Linked DNA regions of Cricetulus griseus. The main gene of each other region encodes a partner of the protein of the gene in region 3 in a complex. Links are inferred from orthologs where the notes say so. Each region holds a gene or a part of one and is shown on either strand. Other genes may lie near its edges.

Evidence for each region. Proteins that work in one complex are often made in the same cells at the same time.
Region 1: Lims1 (region 3) and Parva share a complex: the UniProt entries of both Homo sapiens proteins name them as parts of the heterotrimeric IPP (ILK-PINCH-PARVIN) complex. The link is inferred for Cricetulus griseus from reciprocal best matches to the Homo sapiens genes LIMS1 and PARVA.
Region 2: the proteins of Lims1 (region 3) and Rsu1 are in contact, whole or in part, in a crystal structure (PDB 7LT9), measured with the Homo sapiens proteins. The link is inferred for Cricetulus griseus from reciprocal best matches to the Homo sapiens genes LIMS1 and RSU1. Residues at the interface, in NP_001180417.1 of Homo sapiens: Cys252, Phe253, His254, Cys255, Asn256, Leu267, Asn268, Lys269, Ser279, Thr280, Cys281, Asn282, Thr283, Glu293, Phe294, Asp295, Met296, Lys297, Cys303, Lys306, Phe307, Pro308, Glu310, Leu311, Arg314, Leu315, Lys317, Leu318, Ala319; in NP_036557.1 of Homo sapiens: Asp21, Ser23, Asp24, Gln44, Val46, Ser48, His49, Val67, Asn69, Phe71, Asn72, His90, Asn92, Met95, Glu112, Asp115, Thr117, Tyr118, Arg137, Ala138, Tyr140, Ser142, Asp143, Ile161, Ser163, Arg165, Asp166, Glu184, His186, Gln188.

What each region holds. Positions count from the first base shown.
Region 1 is NC_048596.1:88,111,235-88,114,886, forward strand, and holds part of Parva (alpha-parvin), read right to left. Parts: intron 3,561-3,652; coding exon 3,541-3,560; intron 2,495-3,540; coding exon 2,433-2,494; intron 1,964-2,432; coding exon 1,895-1,963; intron 1-1,894. UniProt on the Homo sapiens protein: Plays a role in sarcomere organization and in smooth muscle cell contraction. Required for normal development of the embryonic cardiovascular system, and for normal septation of the heart outflow tract.
Region 2 is NC_048596.1:219,325,439-219,329,090, reverse strand, and holds part of Rsu1 (ras suppressor protein 1), read right to left. Parts: intron 914-3,652; coding exon 795-913; intron 1-794. UniProt on the Homo sapiens protein: Potentially plays a role in the Ras signal transduction pathway. Capable of suppressing v-Ras transformation in vitro.
Region 3 is NW_023276807.1:2,693,818-2,697,569, reverse strand, and holds the start of Lims1 (LIM and senescent cell antigen-like-containing domain protein 1), read left to right. Parts: upstream 1-1,481; 5' UTR 1,482-1,496; coding exon 1,497-1,678; intron 1,679-3,752. UniProt on the Homo sapiens protein: Within the IPP (ILK-PINCH-PARVIN) complex, binds to F-actin, promoting F-actin bundling, a process required to generate force for actin cytoskeleton reorganization and subsequent dynamic cell adhesion events such as cell spreading and migration.

The DNA.
Region 1 (3,652 bases), on a different chromosome or scaffold from region 3:
ACTCTTGGGCTAAGTACAGGGTGGTTTGTTCTAGGGCGGTGAGCTGTGTATCCTGGGTGATCAGGAAAGTGGTGGTCTGGGGGTGAGTACATTTTAGGGACTCAGTGTTAAGGTGAACAGATAGGTCACAGTCAGATGCTGATCTGTTATCCTAGCACCTGCAGAGGATGATGGGCCACTACACATCTGTAGACCACAGATGCTAGGGTTTGCAGTCATCCTATTAGGAGAATGAAAAGGACTAGGTTGCTAGTGTCTGGGTCTGGAGCATCTTCATGAAGCTTCCTAGGGTGATGCAAATGACACACAGAGCCCAGGAAGAATTGGAGCTCCTCCATACTCTCCTGGGTCAGCTCATGCTGGTGAGGCCTGTGCATGGTATCCCATGCCACCTGTGTGGGTCCTGGAGAGCAGAGCTCAGGATCTGTGTGGAGACGAGAGCTCTCTACAGTGCAGTTAAAGCAATCAGGTCTGGGTCTGGCTGTGGTTGGAGTAGGCTGAGGTGGGAGGCAACCAATCTGTGAGCCAATAGGGTTAGGATGATTCTGCCCAGAGGGACAGCCAGGTGGTGGCTCCCTGTCTGCTGGGATTGTCCTGTTGGGTGGGACCTGTGGACAGATGTCAGAGTGCTAAGCAGCACCCTCTGGCATAGCAGCCCTGGCCCCAAGTCAAGGGGGAAGTTCCAGAGAGCATTCTAGCTGCTTTTCTAGAATGCTCCAGATTGTCCCAGAGTTCAGACACACAGCAAGAGAGCTCAGTGAAGACTGGAGTGGGCTCTATAGACGACAGGAATTGCTTACACTCACTGAACATCAGTCAGCAGCAGTTCACTCAAAATGAGAGGCCCAGAGTGCCAAATTACAGATTAGTTATTAAGTACTAAGGTAGAAAATGACATAGCAGGTTCTAGTCAGAGTCCAGTAGACACTACCCTGGTGACCTATTTTACCACCATAGTGGGACTAATAAGACAAATGCCAGAGAGTGTCTCCTAGGGAGTGCTGGGGTGGACAGTGAGCAGCCTGTAAGGCCTACAAACCATTTGCTTGGGTCTTTTTCAAAATCACCAATGCCAGCCTGAATGGAAGAGGGGCTCAGAATGCCCCAGAAGTAGCTGAGGAGCTATTGGAAGTTGATGGCTGCTGGTGGGAGAAGAGTCAGTTTTCTTCAGAGGTGTGATTCCTTGATAGACTACTTCTGATCCAGTGGATGGTCCTACACCCTTGTGCATATGGGCAGCTCTGATTGTACTCAGTAGGTTATTTTTTAAAAAAGAGGAGGACATAAAGTTAGAAGAAGGGTGGGAGTGTCTGGGAGGAGCTGGGAAGGGGGAGTAGGGTAGATATGACCTAAATATATTATATACACAAATGAAATTATCAAAGAATAAAACAATGACAAACTCTACTGATGTCATTCCAAGAAAGGATGAGTGTTAAAGGCTGTGTTAAAAAGGGACTGAGGGGATGGGACAGACAACACGGGGCAGGGGAAAGCAGGATGACTGTCCTTTTATCATGTGACAGGCCCATCTTATTGCTCCACACCATCACTTCATGATCCCCCTCTAAACAGATGAAAACAGAACACTAATGCTAAAACTGCCAGCATCTGCATCCAATCAGTGGACAGTGGTGATCTAATCACTGGACAGTGGTGACCCAGGCCAGTGCACTTGTTCTGAAGAGAAACGAGGGAGCCATTCAGAGGTAGAGAGAGAATGAGCTTGGCCACATGTTGTGTGTCATGTGTAAACTAGACAGAATTCTTTATTGCAACTTTTCTAAAAACAGCTGGGGAAAATATCCTATCTGGTTCACCTCTCTGAGCAGCTCACATCTCACATCCCATCCCTCTCCCTGGAAAGCTTTGGGTCCCTGGAACTGGCACTCACCTGTGTCTCCAGTTCTGTGACCTCCAAGTTTAGTTTATTCAGGTGCTTGTTCACGAATGTGATGAGAGTCTAAAAGAGAAACAAAAAGGCACTGAGATGGAGGCTTTCATGTGTCAAAGGGCCCTGGGGCCAGGGAAGAGGCTCTTGGTTAGGTAGCCCACAGGCTGTAAGGGACAGGGGACCCCTGAGAGACAGGAGGATAGGTGGATATCTGGTTGGGGGTCAGGGTGGGCAGCAGGGGAATTAAGAAGACAGCAAGAGACAAAATGACCCTCTGGGTCCCTCTTGTTGATTCCTGCTTTGGTACCATCTCCTGTGCCCAGGGAGTTGAAGAATTCTGAGTGAGGAGCAGAGAATGCTGGAGTCAGTGTGAATGGGAAGACAGGGTAAGCATCCTGCTGGGAGCAGAAGGGCCCTGGATGACTAACCAGCGACCAAGAGAGGGAAGAGATGCACAGGATATCCCTGGTACAAGCTGAGATTTCTTCATGCCCTGAGGGGTCCTAGCCCTTGCTGCCCCCAGATACCATAGGCCTACCTTCTTTACCACGTTGAGCTTGTCTGGAGCATGGTCAAACAGCGTGTCAAAGGCGTCACGTTCTGAAACAGGGAAACGCACACCATGCAGTGTAAAGTAGGGCTGCTGGGAGCCATGTGGTCAGCTACCATAGGGAATCTGTGCTCGATTCTTATCCCAATGTCACCGTCTGTGTGTGTCCGCCAGGTAACACATTTCTAAGCAGACTGACCCGGGCTTGGTCCTTTCTCTTCACTTCTATCCCACATATCCCAATGTAGTCACAGTTCTAAAGTGTTTCTGACATCCTCTGGTCATTTGTTACCCAACTAGCAAATTGTTCTGGCTAATTTTCAGAAAAATTATCCTGGTAGGGGCAGAGGTGAGGGCACAAGAGACCAGTACCTTCCAAGATAGAACAAGGGTCTCTTTCTGGGGCACTCCACATCTGCTAACCCCTCTGAGCCTCAGTTTCCCCTTCTATTAAACATCATCTGAAAGATAAGCCTTCCCTGGGGCTAGTTTTTAGTATAATCAAAACATTTCATGAGATCACCATGAATCAGGCTGATAGAACATAGCTAAGCCATGCTCCTGGCAGGGATACTTCTTGCTGTGGTGCCAGATTCTCAGAACCAGAGGTGACCTAGAAGTTTCCAGAAGCAAGCTGGGATGGGGAGGGTCTGTGACCCAAGGTCAGCCTTTTCCACTTGGCACTGATGGGCAAAGCTAAGACTGCTAGGAAGTGTGGTGTGTGTGTGTGTGTGTGTGTGTGTGTGTGTGTGTGTGTGTGTGTGTGTGTGTGTGATATATCTCCGACCCTTGAAGATTCTATAAACAAGACTGAAGTTCTGGGAGAGGGGAGTCATGATGGGGACTAAGAGTGAGTGAGGCCGGGGACTAGCTCCCAAGTGCATTCAAACATCTCTTCCTAAATTTCCATGCCAGGTACAGGGTAAGTCTTCCCCACTGGGGCCATATCTGTGTTGATGAATAAGTGTTCTTTATGTCACTAAGCTGTCCCTCCCAACCTGGCCAATGTGTCCCCAAGCTGGGGCAGATACATCAGATGATAGTACTATCTAGCTTCAATAAGGCCACCAGAGCTGGAGAAGCACACAACACTCACCATGTCTTCCAGAAAGGGCCCTGGAAGAAAAAGAGAAAACAAAAATCCATTATAGAGTTAGGTTTGAGTTTGGGGCTTGCTTGGGCTACATGAGGAGCAGAGGCTGAAGAAG
Region 2 (3,652 bases), on a different chromosome or scaffold from region 3:
GAGATGCTTTCTCAAGAGTAAATGAGTATTATAAACAAATGCCCAGAACATTGTAAGTGGAGTTCAGCAAAAACTTGTGCCTACAGAAAGAACAGCACCAACAGAATTCCACAGGACACAGAAGTCACCATTCACAGGTGCAGACTACTAACTTAACATACAGTTATGTTTGTTATGAGTGTCTCCTAAGCCATTGGGATATTAGCCATCCAAATTTTTGTATGTATCTATAGCAAAAATAGTATGAAAAGACAAACATGTGACCAGATGTGATAAGCAATTCCATAATGGCTATGTAAGAGGCAGAATTAGTCTATGGCAAGAAGAGCTCTTCAAAACCTATATAAGAATCTGAGCTGGACATTTAAACAATTCTGTTAGCAGCTTGAGAACGGATTTTTAATAAACAATTTTCTGGAGTATCTTTGAACAGTGCATTGCAGAGAATTAATAGAAAGCAGAGAAAGCCTTTTCTTTCTTTCCTTTTGTATTCTTTAAGAAGGAAATCAAGAATCTTAGTTAAATGGGAGACTTGATCTCATGGAGGAACAAAATCTCTTTTGGAAAGTTAATATGATATTACTAAGTCTGCTTCTGCCCAGTGGTGTCAGCCACCTACACATCAAATATAAATCCTGCTGAACAATGAAGGAATATTTAAAAGGACTCTGTGATGGAACTATATACATGTATCTAATAATTTCTCTTAAGAGTTTTAGAACTAGCAAATAAATTTTTACTCTTAGAACCAAAGTACTGTGTTAAAGAGATTTACAGAATTAAAAGTTTCTCACTGAGGTAGAAGAAGTTTCCGGGGAGAGAATGTTCATTCAGGTTGTTGTAGGTCAAGTCCAGGACCTCCAGAGCTGGGAGAGAGCCGAATCCTCGAGGCAGTGTGTTCAACCTGTTCATGCTGCAGTTTGGGGACAGAAAGAACACGTCACCTCCTGCAAAGCACAAGTTCACAGGGAACACTGGAAACATGGCAAACCCATCTCAACAGGATGAAAGCCCAAAAGCCTGCCATGATTCTGCATTCACAGAATGCTGCTTGATTTTTCATTTTATTCATATAATTTGATTGACAAAAAGAAATTGTCACACTAATGGTATATACAACATGCTGTTGGGAAATATGGGCACAATGGAGGAAACACCACATTAAGGTATTTAACATACACCTGATTTCATGAGCATTCTGCATGTGCTGAGAGTACACTGGGAATGCAGATACACACAAATCTAGTCTCAGAGCAACTTTCAAATACAGCAAATATCATTAATTCTAGTTACTATGGTATAAAATAATCTCTTGAACTTATTCCTGAATAACTGAAATTCTTGGTCCTTTAACATCTTCTTAGTGAACATCACTTTAATCCACTGAGAGGACTTTCATATTTTACCTCACATATGAGATAACACATACTAACTTCACTTAATCATTTTATTCAGATAACTCATGCTTATGAAATGTATGAAAAATCTTAAGTCCAACAGGAAAAAAACTTGAATACCACTCTACATATGAATGCACAAAACACCTGTCTGAAAAGAAACTTCCTTAAGCATATGTAAACAAGAATTCAAAGCATGCATTACAGGTATTTGCTTTATTTCATCCATTCATTTTAATGGGAGGGGGAACCAACTTCTTGCTCAATAACTATATACTATACTAATGATCAGAATTATCTCCAGTTAGAATGTTAGTTGCCAGGGCCTGGGGCAGAGGGAGGGAAATTAGTTGTTTCAGGTTTGCAAGACAAGAAACTTCTGAAGATTTCATCTGTAGTAGTGTGAAAACAGCAATCTTGAATGACATGCTGCAAAAAGGTTAAGATGGTAAACTATATGGTGACTAATGTTAGTTATCAACTAGATACACCTGAGAGAAGGGAATCTTCACTGAGGAATCACTTCTATTAGACTGACCTATCAGCATGTCTGTGGGGACACTTTCCTCATTGCTCATTGGTATAAGAATGCCCACACATTATGGGTCTTGCCATCCTTCATGTAGGTGGACCTGAGCTGTATAAGAAAGGTAGCTGAAGAACTCAGAGGAAGCAAGCTAGTAAACAGGTTTTCCTTCTAGTTTCTGCTCTAGTTCCTGCTTTGAGTTCCTATCTTGGCTGCCCCCAATAATAGACTAAAACAACTTGTAGGCCAAATAAACCCTTTTAGTCCCCACGTTGCTTTTGGCTAGAATCTTATTACAAAAACAGAGAAGCAAATTACATACATACATACATACATACATACATACATACATACATACATACACACATATATAATCTAAGAGAAAATTGTGATATTATGTTTTATCCTTCAAGGCCTTTATTTTTCCTATTGCCGCTGTCTTTAAGAATACTTAAAAGCCAGCTTTAAAACAATTCAGTGAAAGCTGACAGACACTGGACGCGGGGAGAGACTGTGTGTGACACTAAAAATCAATGCCATCTAAGAAAAGATACAATGTTGCCCACCTCTACCAACCAGGCCTCATGAGAAATGACTGAGCAAAAGGGAACCCAAGAGAAAAGTGGATTTAAAAGTCTTAGGTGGAGGGGGTCCCAGGCTGACTTTACTCAAGGCAAAACAAACTTCTGGACTACTTGCCTCAAAACAGAGGGTATGTCAGCGTTCCTATGATGTTACAGTCTATGAGGCACATCTATGTCAGGCCTTCCATCTGGTTCACTAACTGCCAAGTGCTGACAAGATAGACTCTAGCAACAAACTGGGCTGACAGTCCAGAACAGTTGAGTGTGGTCCTTTACTGTGTCATTAGCCCAAAACCTATTACCCTGCAAACTTCAAACATTCATGGCTTTTCATTTCTTGTAAAATACACAATGCATTGTGCTTTAAAAATTAAGAAAAGGTCAAAACTTTCTCTCACGAGCTGGCCTAAAGTTCTCGCATGTCTTGCAATCATCATAACAAACAGCAAATACTACATAACTCAAAATTTGTTTGGTTGGGTGTCTTTTGGACTATGAATGCATGTGACCCTGTGCTTATGGTCTCCCAAGTGCACACTTTCATTCTACCTGCTTATGCCAAGCAGTCCTCTCCATCCTGCCTTCCCCTGGCCTTAATGTGTATATATAAGTATGACATTCAAGAACAGAAAATCCTTTTTGAAATCCATCTTCATTCCTTTCCCAACGAACTGAAAGTTTTATTGAAATAGCAACTTCTATGGAGCCATGGAGTTGAACACTGGTAGTTTTGCATAATCAATAAACTTAAGAGCCAAAAGTGCAAACAATTCCAAAAGGGGAAGGATATAACTAAGGTACATGTTCATCAAGTTTACCCTTCCGTCCTAAGACAGCCCAAACTCAACTGAACCAAGCCTGAGTTCATTTTCTTCCCAAATGTGTCTCCATCTCAAAATCCATGCTAGCTGTCCAACACAGAAATCCACATTGTATCTCTCCCACCAGTAACTGTCTTGGCAAATTTTCTTTTACATAGTTTTCTAATTAAATCTCACTGCTCCCATCCCTTCCTCCACTGTCACTGATTCAGATCACCTGAGACACAAAGGTAACTTCCTTACTGGCCCCTGGACCTCTACCCCAATTCCCATTAGCCCTCTTCACACTGAGCTTTCTACAAAACTGCTCTCATTTCATATCCA
Region 3 (3,752 bases):
CATTCTGATATCTAGGTTCAAAGTCGGGAAATGTGATCCCATTTTCTGCTTCTGGTCCCATTTTGTGTCTACCACATACTGATTTAGAGTTCACCCATTTTATTTCCCAGTGATTCTGTTGAGCCATTTTCTCTCATAGAAGTTACAGTATAGTCCCTAGGTTTGAGTCTTGACCCCACCACTTGTTTTTTTACTTGTGACTAACACCCATTTCATAGGGCATGCGATATGATAGAAGATACTTGCTAACGCCTCCGTATTGTCATTCACTGTTACTCAGGTCTCAACAGTGTGTTACTTGTGTGTTAGTTTCATGACTTATCTGTTACCTGAGGTGCCCAGCGCTATGCCTGCTCACAAGTTCCTTTGGGTGCTTGCTTTGGGTAATATGGCTCACTGGAATAAAGAATGGAACCACAGAAAAACCCTAAAACCCTGGCACAGAGCTGTGGCTGTCCTCCTCGCTTAGAAGCTGAACTCAGATGAACTGCTGGACATGTGAAGTGGCCAGACCTGCAGATCCAAAGCTGGGGTCTCCACGACACAGGGCAACAACAGGCTATCCAAGAGGAGTCCCAGTGAGGGCCCAGTATTGATAGTGTAGCAGAAGCCAGAGGCCTCAACCCAGACCAGTGACTCATTGAACTTACAAGTAAAGATGTATGGACTAAAGGGTATACTGTGTAACCCACTGGGCCACACTACAGCTTCCTCGATGAGATTTTGTTTTGTTTTTGTTGTTTGTCTGCTTGTGGGTTTACTTTTAAATTTTGTTTTGTTTTGGGGGAGGTTGCAAGGGCAGAGGGTAGAAGCAGGGGGAACAGGGAGATGAATAGGATCTGAATGCATGATATAAAATCCACAAAGAATCAATGAAGAGTTTAAAAAAAAAAAGAAAGAAAAGAAAAAGAAAAACCCTTAACCCTTGTGTGGCCTCATGCTATGCTGTTGTTATTATCATCATGACAAACACAATTACAAACCTGTAATTTAAACTAGTTTAAACTAAATATAGCTGGAACACCATGAAGAATTTGTGACTCCTGTTGCAGGGTTAGCTGGGATAAAGAGTTACAATTCAACTCTAGCTCTTTCTCATTTATACTGCGCCCATTTGTTGAAGTCCTTACTATGTTGTTTATTGTATGAAGAGCAAAGATAACAGGAGACTACATAGAACTTCATTTCAGGAACTTACAGATCCTCGCCAGAGCTTGCCAAGCTTTGCAAAAGTTGCACACCCAAATGGAGAATTGCTCAGAAACAGATTGTCACTGTCATGTGCAGTGTTTTTGAGATCTAGAAAGCTGTAATAGATCCAGACTGCTATGCTACTGAGCTCTTAACATGAAAAGTCAGTAGCGACCTTGGCAGCTGGGTGACGCATGTGGGAACAGTGGGAGTGACCCTGGCTGGGAAACAGGAGGCCTGGATATTGTTTCTCTTCTCTGTATCCTGCTCGGCATCACAGGACTCTGAACTCTGAAGCCTGTACAATGGCCTTCCCAGGCCGATCACGCCCGTGCACTATCCCAGAAAATGAAGAAATCCCCCGGACAGTCCTTAACAGTGTCCTCGAGACTAATGGGAACGAAGACGAGAGGGCTGTATCCAAGCTGCAACGCAGGCACAGTGATGTAAAAGTCTACAAGGAATTTTGTGATTTTTATGCGAAATTGTGAGTCTCTCTCCTCCTGGAATGCTGGCTTTCAAATCTCCACCTCTTCAGCTCTGCGTTCCCTAGCCTTTTGGTCCAGCTAATGTGTTTTAATTTAGCACGGTTTTTCCAGGGTGTACTGAGGGTTTGGGGTGGCTCACAGATTGCCTTGTCTTGTAAACTACCAGAGGACGTAATAGATGTCAAGGAAAATGCTACCTTCCTGGGAAGAGTAGCAAGCTCTCATCTTTCTAATAATGGTACATTTTCATTGTGTTATCCATGAGAGAAGTTGGTACTTTATGTTGTCAGGATCTATAACAGGAAAAAAATATACTCTGAAAGTTCTCAAAGATGAAACTAAAATTTTAATTGAGAAACACTTTTCTGGGGAATTATTCCATAGCCAGTATTTGAGGTGACTAGTAAACTCGGGATATTTTGCACACTGTTGTATTTGGAGAGCAGAAAATTTGTTTCACTTGTAGTGATTAATAAGATGTGAGAAATTGGAAAGCTTGATTGTAGTTTCCTGAGCAGCCGACCTGTAGAAGTAGGTCTACAACGTCAATCCCAGCTGGCCAGTCGGACGCTTTCCTAAAGGCTTCCATAGACATACATTCTCCCCATTCCCATAGTTTCTTTATCAGCAACACTTTTTACTGAAAAAAAGTTTCTGGAAAATTAAGCAATTAGATATAACCAATCTAATGATTTGTCTCAAAAAAATAACTTCTATCATATGTTATATTAAATATTGTCAGCTATAAAAAAATGTGAACAGTTCTGGAGAGTCAGGCAAGAGAGGAGCTGAGCATGTAATCCCAACACTTAGGAGGTATGGAGGACCAGGAATTTGAGGCCAGCCTGGGCTACATATGACCCTGACTCAAAAAAAAGAAAAAAAAAATCAACCAGCCAACAAACAAGATAGAGGAAAGGGAAATATGAGGTCAGTCAGGAGGCAAGTGATTGCTGTGTCCTGTTCCTCCTTTGTTACTAAAGAGAGAGAGAGTGTGTGTGTGTGTGTGTCTGTCTTACTATATATATATATATATATATATATATATATATATATATATTTGTGTATTCTGCTCAGCATCACAGGATGATCTACCCATTTTACCAGTTCTACTTGAGTATTCAGACATAAAGTCTGGAATGTAGTGAATATGAACAAGTCAGTGGTAAATAGCATTTTTTATTCCAAGGACTTCTTTATGTTGTCTCAGCACAACCACAGAAAGGAGCTGGGGGGTGGGGTTTGATTGCGGCAGCCAGCACATGTCTTTAATCCCAGCAATTGGGAGGCAGAAGCAGGTAGATCTCCTGTGAGCTCAAGGCCAGCCTGGTCTACAGAGCAAGTTCCAGGACCGCCAGAGCTACACAGAGAAACCCTGTCTTAAAAAAACAATTCAAAAACAGGATTGAAATCCAGTACTTGTATGAGAAATTGTATTTATTAATTCACTGAAAAGTAACTCATTGCATGTTGATAATATAAAGAATGTTGTTGCCTTACATTTTTGTACATTTTGTTGATGTTTTTCTTGATGCAAGCTCCTTCCTTACAATTGCTTCTGCAAGAGATGTGGCTGAGAGAAAGCGCTTCAGAATTTCCATACCTTGAGAGTCACTGAGTTAAGTGGTAGTGGATCAGGACATTCCAGAATGTTCTCCAGCTTTTGAGGAAGTCCATTAAAACTGAGGTCTAGCTTGGTGGTGGTGGTGCATGCCTTTGATCCCTCTGTGAGTTTGAGACCAGCCTGATCTACAGAGAGAGAGAGTTCAAGGACAGCCAGGGTGGTTACACAGAGAAATCCTGCTGAGCTTGGGATGTCCTTGAGAGAATTTAGAATAAATTTAGACTTTAGTAGCCTCTTCTGCTTTCCAGAGTGGCTCATCTTTTTATTATGTCATTCTCGAACAGCTTCTGAGAATTATTGAGCAGGTGTGGGCTTAGTGTCCTTCCCCACTCAGTCACTCTTTCTGTAAGAAAAGGGTGTACAAATCTCTCCAGAACTTCATTAAAACTATCACTGTTGATCTGGGATCTTCTCATGTCACATTAATTCTGAGATGGCAAAGTGGAAAT